Notamacropus eugenii: one gene and its partner. The protein of the gene in region 1 purifies or fractionates together with the protein of each later gene. This does not show direct contact. Links are inferred from orthologs where the notes say so. Each region holds a gene or a part of one and is shown on either strand. Other genes may lie near its edges.

What was found. The genes of interacting proteins can lie anywhere in the genome.
Region 2: the proteins of EIF3G (region 1) and EIF5 purify together in Homo sapiens (affinity purification with western blotting; 3 studies listed by BioGRID and IntAct, with this or other methods). This does not show direct contact. The link is inferred for Notamacropus eugenii from reciprocal best matches to the Homo sapiens genes EIF3G and EIF5.

Annotation. Positions count from the first base shown.
Region 1 is NC_092875.1:80,027,563-80,034,884, forward strand, and holds the start of EIF3G (eukaryotic translation initiation factor 3 subunit G), read left to right. Parts: upstream 1-4,312; 5' UTR 4,313-4,381; coding exon 4,382-4,467; intron 4,468-4,695; coding exon 4,696-4,742; intron 4,743-4,878; coding exon 4,879-4,962; intron 4,963-5,096; coding exon 5,097-5,185; intron 5,186-5,615; coding exon 5,616-5,675; intron 5,676-6,799; coding exon 6,800-6,904; intron 6,905-7,010; coding exon 7,011-7,200; intron 7,201-7,322. Other genes in the region: DNA (cytosine-5)-methyltransferase 1-like, read left to right, coding at 1,917-2,033, 2,466-2,556, 2,975-2,997. UniProt on the Homo sapiens protein: RNA-binding component of the eukaryotic translation initiation factor 3 (eIF-3) complex, which is required for several steps in the initiation of protein synthesis.
Region 2 is NC_092872.1:349,845,602-349,853,132, forward strand, and holds the start of EIF5 (eukaryotic translation initiation factor 5), read right to left. Parts: upstream 3,001-7,531; 5' UTR 2,735-3,000; intron 2,569-2,734; exon of another isoform or gene 2,061-2,568; intron 1,300-2,060; 5' UTR 1,089-1,299; coding exon 1,017-1,088; intron 827-1,016; coding exon 745-826; intron 430-744; coding exon 257-429; intron 101-256; coding exon 1-100.

The DNA.
Region 1 (7,322 bases):
CAGCTGCTCAACTCCCCCAGGGGCTTTGAGTGGGAGTGGGGCCACCACTGAGGGCTGAGGTTCAGATCAGCTGCTCAATTCCATCAGAGGCTTTAAGCTGAACTACCTGGACAATAGACCTAGGCTGCTTCAGCATAGCCTCCTGCCACCTGCTGCCCCTGCTGCCTAGGGCCAGTGCTGAGGGAACCCCACTCCCCTCTCACCCAGCTGGGAAAGCCCTCCCACCTGACCGTTGGAGCTTTCTTTGTTGCTTGTGGGTTGAGGGATCTGGGACCCTCCCTGCTGGGTATTCTGGCCCGGGAGGTCTGTTCAGGTCCTGTTCCTCCCAATGCTGCACAGCCAGGGCTGGGCTGGGCTCTGCTCAGTGTCCCATGAGATAGACCTTTCCTGTTGGCCTTTCAGGTTACCGGTAGCTGGAAACCTCTTTCACTCTGTTGTTCTGTGGCTTCTGTTGCTTTAGAATTTGAGAGTCATTTTTTTACATGTATTTTGTGGGCTGTGGGGGAAATGCTAGAGTATATGTATCTTTCTACCCCGCCATCTTGGCTCTGCCTCCTCACCTTTGTAGAAACTTTAAAAAATGTTGATAGCCACTACCAACCACTGAGCTATAAACTGAGGCTCACCCATCACTGGCACATAACCCTATTGCTTTAGAGGATGGTCTAAGCTGGTATCAGGTTTGTTTCATATATAGAAACAGAATGAACACTAATTCATTGTTGGTGGAGCTGCGAGCACATCCAACCATTCTGGAGAGCTATTTGGAACTATGCCCAAAGGGCTACAAAAATGTGCATACCCTTTGACCCAGCAATATCGCTACTAGGACTATATCCCCAAGATATCATAAAAATGGGAAAGGGTCCCACATGTACAAAAATATTTATAGCAGCACTCTATGTAGTTGCCAAAAACTGGAAGTCAAGGGGATGTCCATCAATTGGGGAATGGCTGAATAAATTATGGTATATGAATGTAATGGAGTACTATTGTGCCATAAGAAATGATGAACAAGAAGACTTCAGAGAGGCCTGGAAGGACTTATATGACCTGATGCTGAGTGAAAGGAGCAGAACCAGGAGAACTTTGTGCACAGCAACGACCACAGTGTGCGAGAGTTTTTTCTGGTAGACTTGGAATTTTGTAATAATGCAAAAACTTCTTATAAAAAAAAAAAATCCCAAAGGTGGTTCTCAAGGCAAAATGCCTTCCACACTCAGAGAAAGAAATATGGAAGTCATTCGCAAAATGTAGCAGATCATGTTTGTGTATGTGTATGTGTCTGTGTATCATGTTTTGATTTGTTATGATTTCTTTCATTTATTTTAGTCTGACTACATAGCATGACTATAGTGAAAATATACTCAATAGGAAAGTATATGTAGAACCTATACAGAATTGTATGCAGTCGTGGGGAGGGAGGGGGGTAGTGGGGGGTAGGTGTGGGGGGGATAAAATCTCAATTGTATGGCAGTGATTGTTAAACATTAAAAAATAAAAAAAATTAAAAAAAAAAAAAGAAACAGAATGCTATTTTGAAGCCCCAGGGTCAGATTTCCCCACCTCTGAAGCTTATTAGCTATAACCCTGGGTCTTGGGTAATTCCCCCTGGACTTAAGAGAGGAAAGTCAGACTAGTTTTGATCCCCTTTACAGAAGGGAGCTCCCACACTGCCACTGGCCAAAACCCCATCCTTTTGTCTTTGTGCGAATTACAATGATCCATCTCCCAATGGAGATCCCCATCCCAGGACATTGTCTCCACAAATTTGTTGCAGTAAAGTGGTGATCCTGCTTTTGGCCATTGTGTTACAGGAAGGAGATATGTCAGTTTTATTTTTCTCTAGTGTAAGTTCATGCTTTTTAAAGAAAGCAAAACTTGGGGACTGATAGCATGGATTCTTGTGTCCACAGGGTCGAGTGATTCACCCAGAACAGCACCGACTAGTGAGTGTGCGGGAGTGTGCCCGGTCCCAAGGATTCCTAGATTCCTACAGATTCGTTGGCAGTACCTTAGAAAAACACAAACAGGTGAGTGTTAACTTCCTATAGTTATTTTAATTCGACGGGGAACACATTTCTGAGACTATTATTAGGACTATAGTCCTAATGACTATGGTTCATTAGGAACTATCAGGTTTTACTTAGTACAATTGACACTTTAACAAAATGAAGTATCTTCTTGCCAAGTGAATATCAGATACAAACTGCATTTGGCTCTCCCACCAGGAGGCAGGAGGTGGCCTTGAGGCCTCTAAGCATATAAGACCCACTTAAAGAGACTGGGGAATGGAATGAGAATTCTACATTGGAGTAAAATAGCACCCTGATTCAAATCCTCTGAGTCCTGGTCGGTGCTGCTGTCGCCCGATAGAGTGCTGAAAGCCAAGATGTTCACAGGGATCTTTCTAGGCACAGGATCCTATTGCACAACACCAAATTCTGTCCCCCTTTCCCATGCAGGTGGGGAATGCAGTGCCTCCACCCCTGGCCAAAGCCATTGGCCTGGAGATCAAGCTCTGTGTGTTGGCCAAACTGAAAGAGAAAGCCACAGGTAGGTATGGCTAGAGGACTTTCTAATGTGTGGAAAATGGATTGTGTGCTATTATATTTTAGGGGTGGCATGGGGTAGCTCAGCTATCCCTTTTTCCTCCTCTCATTGTTCATTGAGTCTAGGCAGACTATAGGTCATGGAAGGGAAATCACTTGGGAGAGCCCTCTTCTGGGTGTGCTTCCTTTACTAAATTCCAAACACTTACCCTTCAAGGTCTAAGACAGCAACTGTTATGTGGAGGAGAACTCTAGGCTCTATTTTGTCTTCTAGAGAGAGAAGTGTGTGTGTGACATTTGCAGATACTTCATAGGATTGTTATTTAACCCAAAACATTTAAAATCTCAACTTTGGCAGTTATAATACTACGTTGTCCCTTCCTATTCAAACTTAAATTTGTCTTTCATTTGTTTCTCTTCAGTTAAAATCACAGAAGAGGTATGAGGGACAGAGCTATCATGGACTACTCTTCTTAACGAGCCAAACTTTTTATTCCGTTGTACTCATGAAGCATCTACCTCCTTTGCTGACATTGAGCTGTTTTTAATGATCAAACTGTTAAACTATGAAATTGTAAGGTGATTTTATAGAGTCTAGATTTTAAAACTATTTGAATTGTCTATTAAATGTAATGTCGAGTGACTGAAATGTTTTTGCAGCTTTTATATACATTATAATAAATATTTTTAAATAATCAAGTATCTTTCCTGACTCTTACGTACCTCAAAACTATTTCTGAAATTGCTCCAGTTTTTCTCTGGCACATTAGGACTTCTGATTCAGCAGCTTGCCACAGCTTAAAATGTTTTCATTTGGAGAATGAGGTCTCCTTGTCAGAGGCATCCTCTGTTATGAAAAGACAACACGAAGATTTCTTGGTCAAAGGAAGGCAAGCTGTTTCTAGTTCTAAAGGGGCCAGGATGGCAGTTATGTCACTGTAGACATCTCAATTCCTGCTAAAACACTGGAGTTCAGCACTGTATCAAGTCACTTGATTTCTGAATACAAGTGGCGGATCCAGGATCCAAACCTCAGAACCTCAGGTTTTTTTGTTTTGGTTTGTTTGGTTTTGTTTTTTGGCTCCTTACCTAATCCCGTCTTCACTCTATCCATTGGCTTCTCCAGGTTTAGAGAGCCAGCTAGGTGGTCCAGTGAACAGAGTTCTGGGCCTGGAGCCAGGAAGGCTACGGTTCAAATCCAGCCCCACACACTTGCTAGTTGTGTGACCCGGGACAAGTCCCTCGACCTGTGCTTGCCTCGGTTTCCCCAACTGTAAAATTGGGATAGTAGCGTCCTCCTCCCAAGGTTGGTGTGAGGCTCAAATGAGATCTGTGATCGATCATCCCGGTGCCTGGCATACAGTAGGCACTTCATAAATGCCTCTCTTCTTCCTTCAAGTGCACAGCTTCTATGCCAGCTGAATTCCTTGTATCTCTCAATAGGAAGCGAACACACCGCACTCCGTCCCGCTGTCTGACCCCTCCCTATCCCCTTATTTACCATTGCAGAAGCCTCCCCCCCCACCCCCAACTATGCCTGTTTGCTCCATCTGGGGAAATGTGGGGGGGGGCCTGCTCCCCGCTGCCGTGTAGAGCAAAGTCCTCTGGTGCCTTTAGCTTTCCCACAAAGCCCGAGGCTTCGGAGCACTCCATCCCTCCGCTTTTGTAGGGGAAAGAATCGTAGGATGGGGGCGGGGTGAGGGAAAGGAAGGGGGACACGCAGGGCAGAGCAGGGAGAGCAGGGCCGGAAGGAGAGAAGCCTCCTCCACCAGGGGGCGCCGTGACGACGGAAGCGCCCGGCGGCGCTCCAGCAGAGGCGGCGGAAGTAGATGTTAGAATCCATTTCCGCTTCCGGTCTTTGGCCCGGGCTCCGGCTGCGTGGAAGATCCCAGACGATGCCGACTGGAGACTTTGAGTGAGGAAGCTGGGGCCGGTTCGGGGGACCTGGGGGTTGCGGATGACGAGGCTGGGGGCGGGAGGGCGGAGGGGGCTCTCTCAGGCCCGGGGCCGGAGCGGGAGCGGGGAGCTGATGGTGTCCCCGGCGCCTGGGCCGAGCCGAGGCCTGGACGGCAGCTCGGAGCGGGGCGAAGGGATCCCGGGGCGCCGGGGCGCGGCTTCCCTGAAAGGCGCTTTCCTCCCGCAGCTCGAAGCCCAGCTGGGCCGACCAGGTGGAAGAAGAAGGAGACGATGGTGAGTCCGGCCCTGCTGACCAGAGGCCGCCTGGCCGTCCCTTCCCCACCCCCCCTCACTCTGGCATTTCCCCTCCTCCTCCTTCCCTCCGGCCTGCCTCCCAGGGTCTAGCCTGATCTCTGCCCCTTCCCTGCAGACAAGTGTGTCACCAGTGAGCTCCTCAAGGGGATTCCATTGAGCACAGGAGAGCCCAACAGTGAGCCAGAGCTGCTACCGGGTGGTGAGTACGGCAGCCGAGAGAGGCAGAGAGGGTGTCTGTCTGCCTGTCTGTCTGGCTCCCTGCGGGGAGCGCAGGCTTTTGTCATGTTTGGGTCTCTCTCCATCTGTTCCTTTCCTGGGCTGTTTCCTCCCCAGCTCCTCTCCCTGCCCCCAAGGAAGTCATCAACGGGAATATTAAAACCATCACTGAATATAAAGTGGAAGAAGATGGCAAGAAGTTCAAGGTGGGCTACGCTGGTTTCTGTATCTTTTCTTGTCTGGCCTTTGGGTCAGGTTTGGGGACCCCATGAATGAAAAAAAGCCATTTGTTGAATGTTCTCAGCCCCGAGAATGCAAGTACAACAGGGATACAATTCTTGTCCTCAAGGTTCTCTTAATATGGGAGACCACACATATAGGGCAATGGCATCATATCTACCTTGCTAAAGGAGCGTTTTGAAGCGTTTAAGAAGTTACAGGATTGCTGTTTGAAGTCATTGGGGAGTTAATGACATATATTCTATTAGTGACGAAAGTATTGTTTCAAAGGAAGAGGTAGAATGCAGGAGTACTAGGTACCTAGTAGGGTGGTGGATCCTCCCAGTTCATGTGTGAGATTTACTGCTCACTAAAAGGATTTTTCCCCACTCCTCTCCTTTCTTGTGCATTTTCCAGATTGTCCGTACCTTCAGGATTGAAACTCGAAAGGCATCAAAGGCTGTTGCAAGAAGAAAGGTGAGAGCCATTTTGGGGTTGGACAGTGTATCTTTTCTTATCTTTTTCTTCAAGGCCCTTCTTGATGTTCTTTTGCATTACCTTATCATGGAATAGAACAGCCTGATCAAGTGGAAGGAGTTCTAGACTGGGAGTCAGGAGAGGTCTAATCCTGATTCTGACACTTAGAGCAGCTGTGTATTCTTGGGCATTTAACTTTTTTGAACTTTAGTTTCTTCATCTTTAAAATGGTCATAATACAGCTCCATCTAACTCACAGAACTGTGAGAAAATTCTTTACAACCTTAAAAATCTACATAAATGTGAGTAGTTGGACCTAATGATTTTACATGTCCTCTTAAGCTAGGAATAGTGAGGAGGCCTGCAACTTTATTGGTAGTTCTGGGTCATGTATAAACAAGGAATTTTTCTTGGAATTGGAAAAAAATTTAGGGAACAGTAACGAAAGTAAGGGAATATATAAAAGGAATAGGCATGAGAATGGATGCAGAATATGAATATTTTTCCACCTTGGAAAGATGAGAGCTATGAGTAGGCTGGATCCAAGGCTAAAATAGTTGGGGATGGAAGAACTTAAAAGCAGTCAGACTTAGAAGACAAGAATAGCCCACGGTAGGGATAATTTTGTAAACTTGTTGCCCCAAAAGTAAGTACTAAATCCATTTCAGTTCCATAGATTTTTGTTAATTACTTTTCACTCAACAAACAAGCCAATTGATAATATATCTCCTTATTTATTCCTTTAATATTTTAAGATTAACAACATGCTTTCCTCACCTCACTTCCTTCCATTTGAAAGGACTGTTTTGTTGAGGAAGGATTAGACTTGGTTTTCTGCAGGGAGGGGAGGAGAGGGACAGGAGCAGTGTATGGAAGTGGCAGAAAGGAAGATCTTGGTTCCATTTGAACTTCTCCATGTGGGCTGCCTCAGGAGGCCAAAAGTTTCTCATGACTGGAAATCAGTGACAGTTTAGGGATATAGTTTTTGTTTTGTTACATTCTAGAAGCACATTCTTCTTGACAGCTTTCTACTTCTTAAACTCCCCTGGGGAGAATTCCCAACCTGCTTTGTGATCTGTTACTCCAATCTGTCTGGTCCTATTCTAACCCTTTCCCATCCACAGAACTGGAAGAAATTTGGCAACTCACAGTTTGATCCCCCTGGTCCAAATGTGGCCACCACTACAGTCAGCGATGATGTTTCTATGACATTTATTACCAGCAAAGAGGTAATTCATGAGTACAGGATTTAGGGAGGAGGTCCTGAGGGTGGGGTGGGTAGGAGGCTCCCCCGAAGGCCAAAGCATTTCCAATCTCAACCTCTTTTCTCCCCAGGACCTGAATTGCCAAGAGGAGGAGGACCCAATGAACAAGCTGAAGGGGCAGAAGATTGTGTCATGTCGAATTTGCAAGGGTGACCACTGGACAACACGGTGTCCCTACAAAGACACACTGGGACCTATGCAGAAGGAATTGGCTGAACAGCTGGGGCTGTCCACTGGGGAGAAGGAGAAGATGCCTGGAGGTTCGGAGGTGGCACCTGGGTTGGGGGCATGTGGGTGTGTCTCTGTAGGACTTTCCATTGTGATAGCTTGTGTGACCTTGTGAATGTCTCTGTTTTGGGGCCGTGGAAGTTTGGCCCTGGAG
Region 2 (7,531 bases), on another chromosome or scaffold:
TGAGAATGAACGTGCAGAGTTTATGGTTTGTGTCAAGCATGCCTCGATAGCCACAGGCTTTGCAAGAGTTACCTATTGTTTGTTTCTTAGGATTGACATGCTGTCAGTAAGAAAATATTAAATGAATTTAGCACAGTATTCAGATCAGAGAGTATACTTACACATATAGATTATGTACTTAGCTTTAAAGACCCAATAATATTAATATTGATGCTGTACATCAACACATACATTTCTGCGCAAACAATTCCCTTACCAGATCTGTTTCAGGATTCTCACACTCGGGACAGAGAACAAATTTTTTAATGAATCCATCCAACATGTCTTGCAGCTTATTCGCCTCATGAGATCCATTGACAATGTAACGGTCATTCTTAACATCAAACTGGGTCTGTGCTCCCAGCTCACAACCAAAATATTTGGTGGGATCTTAAGAGGGAAAAAAAGTAAATGAACTAAGAGATTTTGCTTCACTGCTGTTTACTACATTATTATTATCTACCCACCCACCCAGTACTCCATATTAGGAGCTGTCTGTATTTTAAAAAATACTGCTTACATACAGACACGCATACACTAAAGAGTTCAAATTAAACACAAAGAAAATGGAAACCTAGTTCTGTGTTCTCATTGTTTCGAATGACTCAATCCATAGCCCAAAACACAAGCTTTCAGATCATAAATGTATTGATAAAAACTACAAGCATTTTTAATTTGTTCACATTTCTTCAAAAGATTACTTACACGTTGGAGGCCGATTAAGCGCCTTTGCAACGTCAACCATGTTGACTATAACTGTCTTTATTCCATTTCCTTTGCCCTCAACCTAAAAAGCAAAGTTTAATAGTCATTTCCATGCTATAAATGTAGACCATTAATCTTCATATTTAAAGGACACAAATACTACTAACAGAGCCACTTGACCCACAAAAGATATTATAGAACACCAAGCTGTTCAGACTTACCCATACTCTGTCCTCCCAAACCAACTGAAAAATTAAATCAGTAAATATTACCTTAGCAATCAGACGGGGCATTTTGTAGCGATAGAACTGATCTGAAACGCTGCGGTTGACGTTGACAGACATTTTGGCTTATTAGTAGTAGTTTTATCAATAAGATGAAGAGATCTTTGATTGCAACTTTTTGGTATCTTCTGTCTGGAGAAGAAGGGATGACATAAACGACTGCAAGAGTTCTCGGTCTCTGACATGAAAAAGTTTTTGCCACAGAGGCTGTAAGCGTCTTGCTTGTATGCTATATTTCCCCAATACAGGTACCAATGGCTGCGCAACAGCTCTGAAACAGAACAGGGAGGTAGGGTGAGAGAGAACAAACAAAATTTAATGACTTCTAGAAGAACCCCTCCCCCCCATTTGCTGATTTATAAGCTGTCCTATCAGTCTCAAAAAACTACATCTACATATGATGTAGTGTAGTATACAGAGAATCACTAAAAAGGATGGGTGGGGGGAAAGAGGCTTAAAAAACCCAAATAAAATGTTGTGATTAATTCAGAATACACAAGAAAACTGTTGGCAAGAAACCAACATAGCCTTTTCTCTTGGGTGTGTGTGGGGATAACGGGACCCCTGCTTTTTAAAGCCACAGTCAAGAGCCTCAACTATACCTATTCTTTTTTTATTTTTATCAAGTCTCTTTAGATATTTAAATCCCTCTACTCTCCTTTGTATCCATTTTTGACAGGTTATTTCACCTTTGCTGCATTTTCCAAACCGGTTTCCTCAACGCATCAGGATAAAGAAAACAAGTCTAAGCTAGTATTCTGATACTGGGTATTTATTCAACAATTTCTACGAAATAAAACATACAAGTGCATTTCTAAGCTCAGTGTAAAGCCTATGTTACTTTTACGGAGAGATTCTCGTTCCAAATACAAATCAGGAAGATAACGAGGACATTCTAGGCACAGGTCACCGTTTTGCTACACAGGGCATAAAAACCCAAACGAAATCTCTTAACGAACTCAAGTAAGCAGCTTAGGGCGGGTCTAGATTTTCCGTTTATCTTGAAAAAGGTGCCTGCACATTCACTGTTACCTGGATCCTAACGCAACCACGGACATCAGGCTGATGAAGACCTGAAGTGTAAGTTCTCTCTAGATCAAGAAGCGGAGCACTAACAGGCGATAGCCCAGAGCTGTTCACACTAAGAAGCAGACGGGATTCGCCCCAAGCTATCTCCGAGATCGGGGCACCTTTTCCCTCAGCAGCCGCACCCACAGGCGACAACCCGCAGAAAGGACCAGAAGGAATGGCCAGCGAGGGCCGGCGGCGAGGCCTTCAGTACTGCGGCGCGGCCCAGCTCGCCTCTGCTCTCCCCTCCCCCGCGCCAGTCTCCTCCCCCAGCCGGCCGGGATGACTCATAAATGCAGCAATTAAGCACTGAGTCAGCTTTTGAGGAGGCGTGGCGCATGCGCAAAGCTGCCAGGATCACCACCCCCCTCCCCGGCCGTTCGCCAAACACAAGCCTGGGTGCGCCCCCTTCCCGGGGGCGGGGGGTCGTACCCGCCGACCCGGGGACTTCCCCTTTCCTCTCCCAACTTGCGGGGGTTCGCGCAGTAAACTGCGCCACGCGACTGGGGGGGAGGTCACGAGGAAGTAGGTCCGCCATTTTGTGCGGCCGCCATCTCCCTAGGGCCGGGGCGCCTCCTCACACGCTTCCCGCCGCCGCCCCCGTCCCGCCAAAGCCCCGACGCCCGCCTTCCACTTACCGTTTTCGTCAAATAAAGACATAAACCCAACGCTGCTCGCCCGGGACTGGGATGAAGTGTCTGAGGCGCGGTATGAGCAAGAGTCCGAGCAGCAGCAGGAGGTGGAGGAGGAGGAAGGGAAGAGGAGGAGGAAAGAGGAGGAGGAGGCGGAGCGGGAGGAGCGGCCCGAGCCAGGTGCCGCCGCCGACCAGCGGGGGGGAAGGGGGGGCGGTCCCAGCGACGTCCGGGGGGAGGCAACACCCTTCGGCACCTGGGAGCCTGGCGACCTGCAGAGAAAGAGATCCAAGCGCCATTAGCAGGGGACAGTCCCTGCGAGAAAAAAAAGCATCAGCGCAACCTAGCTATCCCCCCCGCCCGCCCCGGGGCCCCTAGTCCTTCCGGCAGCCCAGGCCCACAGCGGCTTTACAGTAAGGAGGCCCCGCGGGGCAGGAGCCAAAGCCACCTCAGACTCACCTCTGGAATGTTCTCGCTCTGACTGAACAACGCCGATGCCGCCGCCGCGATCACTCTACCCCCCCAGGCCCCGCCTTCCCTGGTCCGGCCATCCCGGCCCATTGGCTGGTGGGCCGCTCGAGCCCGCGCGCCATTGGCCTTTGCTTCCTGTCAATCACGGCCTCCTGCCTTCCCCCAGCGGCTCGCTTCCCTGCTTTCACACCCGCCCTTGCGGAGAGTCCCAAGCTATTGGCCAATGGGCCGCTCGAACTCACGCACCACTGGCCAGGACGTCGAGTCAATCACAATCTCCGGCCCGCCTCTGCTTCTCGTCCCTCCCCCGCCTCCCCAAAGCTCCGCCCCCGCCCATGCCAGCCAATTGGTCCGTGAGCCCTTCGAGTCTGCACACCATTAGCGGCTGGGTCGTGTCAATCAAGGTCTGCCGCCTTGCCCTGTCTTCTCTCTTCCCCTTCTCCACACCCACCCCTCGACCAAACCAGCAACCCCAAGGTACGGCACGACGAAGACGGCTCGAGATTTCGAAGCATGCAGTCTCGCGAGACCCGCCGGAAGCCGGAGGGGTTGGGGGTATTAGGAGGTCCCGAGGATTGACGGGGCGCGCGCGTGTCCGTTTCGTTCTCGAAGCGGGAGGAAAATGGCGGTTGGTTTTCCTTCCCGTCTCCACCCCCAACCCCCGCCTTTCTGGCGCCCCGGCTCGCTTCTTGGGGGTGGGGTTTGTCGTTACATGATGGTGTGGGTTTCGTTACCCGGCCGCCAGTACCGGGTCACCGGGGTTCTTCTTCAGCTCTCGCGCTTTCCCCTCTAGGGGTAACCGTGGCGCGCGCCTTTCCTGCCACTGCGCAGGCGCCTCCGTCCTGAGGTCAAGGGGTCAGCGCCGGGGACGCGGAGGTGGCTTCCCTTGCGCGTCCACGTGCGAGTCCTGGTGCTGCTTCGGAGAACACCCCGAGGGTGACTCAACGCGACTGAAGTGGGTGTTGAGGCACGCAGCCCCACGGCACGCGGGGGTAATTAGCAGCCACAAAGCTCTGATGCGGGAAGGAAAAGAGAGCCAAGCCGCGTGTCCCTTTGGTTACTCCCTCGGGTACTTAGGTCTCTACTCAGAGAAGTTGTAAGAAAAAAAGTGTTTTTTCTAATTTTTCTTTACCCCCAGGCAAGGCAGGAACCCTGCCGAGTTCAGCCGGCTCTTGTGTTTCCTCTGTCTAAAAGCAGTAGTTTTGAAAAAATTTCATTTTATTTCTGGGTTTTTTTCAGAGACCTTTCCATCACACCACACTGCCTCTCATTTTTCCAAGGTGAAATCTGAATCTAGCTCTGGGCCCGGAATTTGAAACGAGAGATGGTAAACTTTTCCCCACAAAACCTTAACTTTTATTCCTCAGACACATGGAAGCTAGCCTCCGGTTAGGGGCTAGAAGGAGAATTTCGAGAAATATTTCAACAGTGTATTTAGGATCACATGATGTATGCATTAGAGAGAGAAAATAAGGTGTCACCAGGGGCATGGGAATGGATTTGAGTTAGGCTTTGAAGGGTAAGTAGTCAGGAATGCCAAGAGCCAAGGCAAAGAGGCGGGAAAGTAGACGTGCTAATGTTTTTCTAGATCAGGGGCTCTTAACCTTTTTTTTGTGTAATGGACCCCTTTTGCAGAATAATGTTTTAAAAATATTTATATTAAAATAGGTTTATAAAGGAAATCAATATTTTGAAAAACTTTTTTAAAAGTTCATTGGACCTCAAATTAAGAATCCTGATATTCTTTCTTTTCTGCCCCACTCCTGTCATGGGTTATTTTTTTTACTATCTACCTAAAATGAAACCTGAATCTAGCTCAGTGAGGAGAATGAGAAATTAAATGTCAGCAGCTTTTCCCCAGCAGAAGTTATCTTCTGTTCCTCCTAAAGATCTGACTCTAACTGTTTATAGAAAGACTTTTGGGAGAGAAATAATACTGTACACCTTTTGAACTAGATGATGTGCTGTGGTATATTTCTCTTGTAGTCTTGAATACTAAAGATCATATGCTGTGTGAAGAGAGGCAGGTCAGTGTCTGGAGTTATTTGAGATCAGTTGAATTTGGATGAAATAGTTATGTAACCCAGGTGTTCTTTCTTGGAGTTTTGGTCTTTTTACATTTTTTTGGACTAGATTTGTGATTTCATTGGCATAGGAAACACCCTATGAGGAAATTCTCTCAGCTAATGCAAGTGTTGGCACTCGGTCAACATTTTATAGTCTTGATAATTGACTAGGGACACTGAGAGATTAGTGACTTAGTCAGTCATACCACCAGTGTGTGTCAGAGGTAGGATTTGAATGTAGGTCTTCCCAACTCTAAGGCAGGTGCTCTGTGCATTATGCCAAGCAACCTATCTTGGGAGTTTTAACAGCTTACTTCACTTCAGCAGGCACTTACTAAACACATAATATGTGCAAGGTGCTGGGTATACAAGGACATACCTAAGAATCTCTGCTCTCAAGGAACTTATATTGTACTTATTTTTGTTCACGACCTTGCCCAGGATTTCCTTGGGAATAACTAGATCTGGCTCATTTTAGTTTTCATCAAGGTGTTTTCCATTCTTTTGCAAACATTAAGGTAACAAGGCATGGAATGCAGAACAAATTTATTACACACACACAAAAAAAAATGTAGAAAGAACTTGTCCCCAAGTCCACAGTAAAGAAAACTACCTCCTGTGGTTAGCCTTATCTTCTTCAGTAATCTATAGAGTTATTTTGTGTTTAAGAGTGCCCCTCTGGTCTGGAGGTTCCCCTTGTTCCCACTGGAAAAAGAACTGAGTCAAGCAGTCACTCCTCATGGGGAGTCTTATCTTCTATAGGGACATATATAGTTGTTGCAAACTTATAGCACCAACAGAGAGGTTTTAAGTTGTTCCTTCCCTTTGTGGCTTCCTCTTCTGCCAATCCTGTCCTTTCATATCTTTGGCAATAGTTTGGTAATATTTCTCCCTCTCTCTGCCCTCTCCCTCAGGAAATCTCTGGAGTTTTTGGTGTCCTAGTTTCTCAGTGCATGTGACTTCCTGGAGGGGCACATTACACAGGCACCACTCCAAGGAATAGAGTTCATGTTTATGTATAAAGGCCAAATACAAGGGCATAGCTCAGTTATATGAACTAGCAGCAAACCTGATTCACTACTGAGATAAAAGCTTCATCAGTGGAACAAAGAAGACCTGAGACAAGAGTTCACGTCTTAGCAATGGAAAGACAAAGAAGAAAAAGGAACCTGTGCCATGCAATAAAACTATACCTAGCATACTACCTTATAGCCCCAACACTGGGTATGTCTCTAGGAAACATGGTATCCCCTATCTCACTCAGCTCTCCAACAGCATCCACTCTCCTGATTACCTTTCCCAATTTGTTGCGCTCTGAAACAACCATGATAGTGTGCAAAACTCTTTCAATGGTGCCTTCTTCAAAGTCAGTAGATAACCCTAAAATTATTCAGTGAACTTCAAAGCTTAAGCCTGCCTTGTTGCTAGCAGGAGTCTCACTAGAGTACTACAGGTTGACGCTACAGTGTGCTGGTGCTGTACTGGCAAAGGCTCAGGAAAAAAGTAATGAAAAAAACGTTCCACATGAACTCCCAAGATTGAATTTGTTCCATCTGCCCAGAGTTTTGGTTCTGATCACTCAGGTGACATTTGGAGATTTATCTGAGATACTTTAAAATCTTTTGTTAAGGATGTTGATATTTTCAAGATGTACAAGATTTTATGATTTTGATGATGAAAACTTTAAAACACTCCCCTAAATTCGGCAATTGGTGTAGAAAGTACATCAAACCATGCATTCAATGAGATGAGGATGAGGAGGAAACAAGCATTGTGAGAAGTTTCTCCTGAATTTCTTTGCTGCTTTGGCGACATCTATTTTCACTGGGATAGACTATGTAACAAGGGCTGGCAAATACATGGAATAGCTTTCTGGGGTCAAAAATCTCCGTAAAACTTGAGGCAAAGACATTTAAAATTCTGCTGGCTCAAAAGAAGGTCTACAGAAGAAATTCTTGGCTCATTATTTTGTCAAGATATTTTCTGCTCTCAAAATCCCAAACATTCAGGGACACTGGTAGCTTAGTTTCTTTTTCAGTAATATTTCTTATGAATTTAGGTGAACAACCAACTGTGAAATTCCTTAGTTAAGTGAATTTGCATTCAGCTAGAATGATTTGGGTTTACTTTAAAGCCTGAAAAAACTTTGTCTAAAGTGTGTGGAGGAGGGAGATGGGACTCTGTGGCAGAAATTGTTGTACCAGTTCTGAAAATGCTTTTTCAATCAGTATGTAAACTGCTCTTTCCAGAGGAACTATAGAGAATT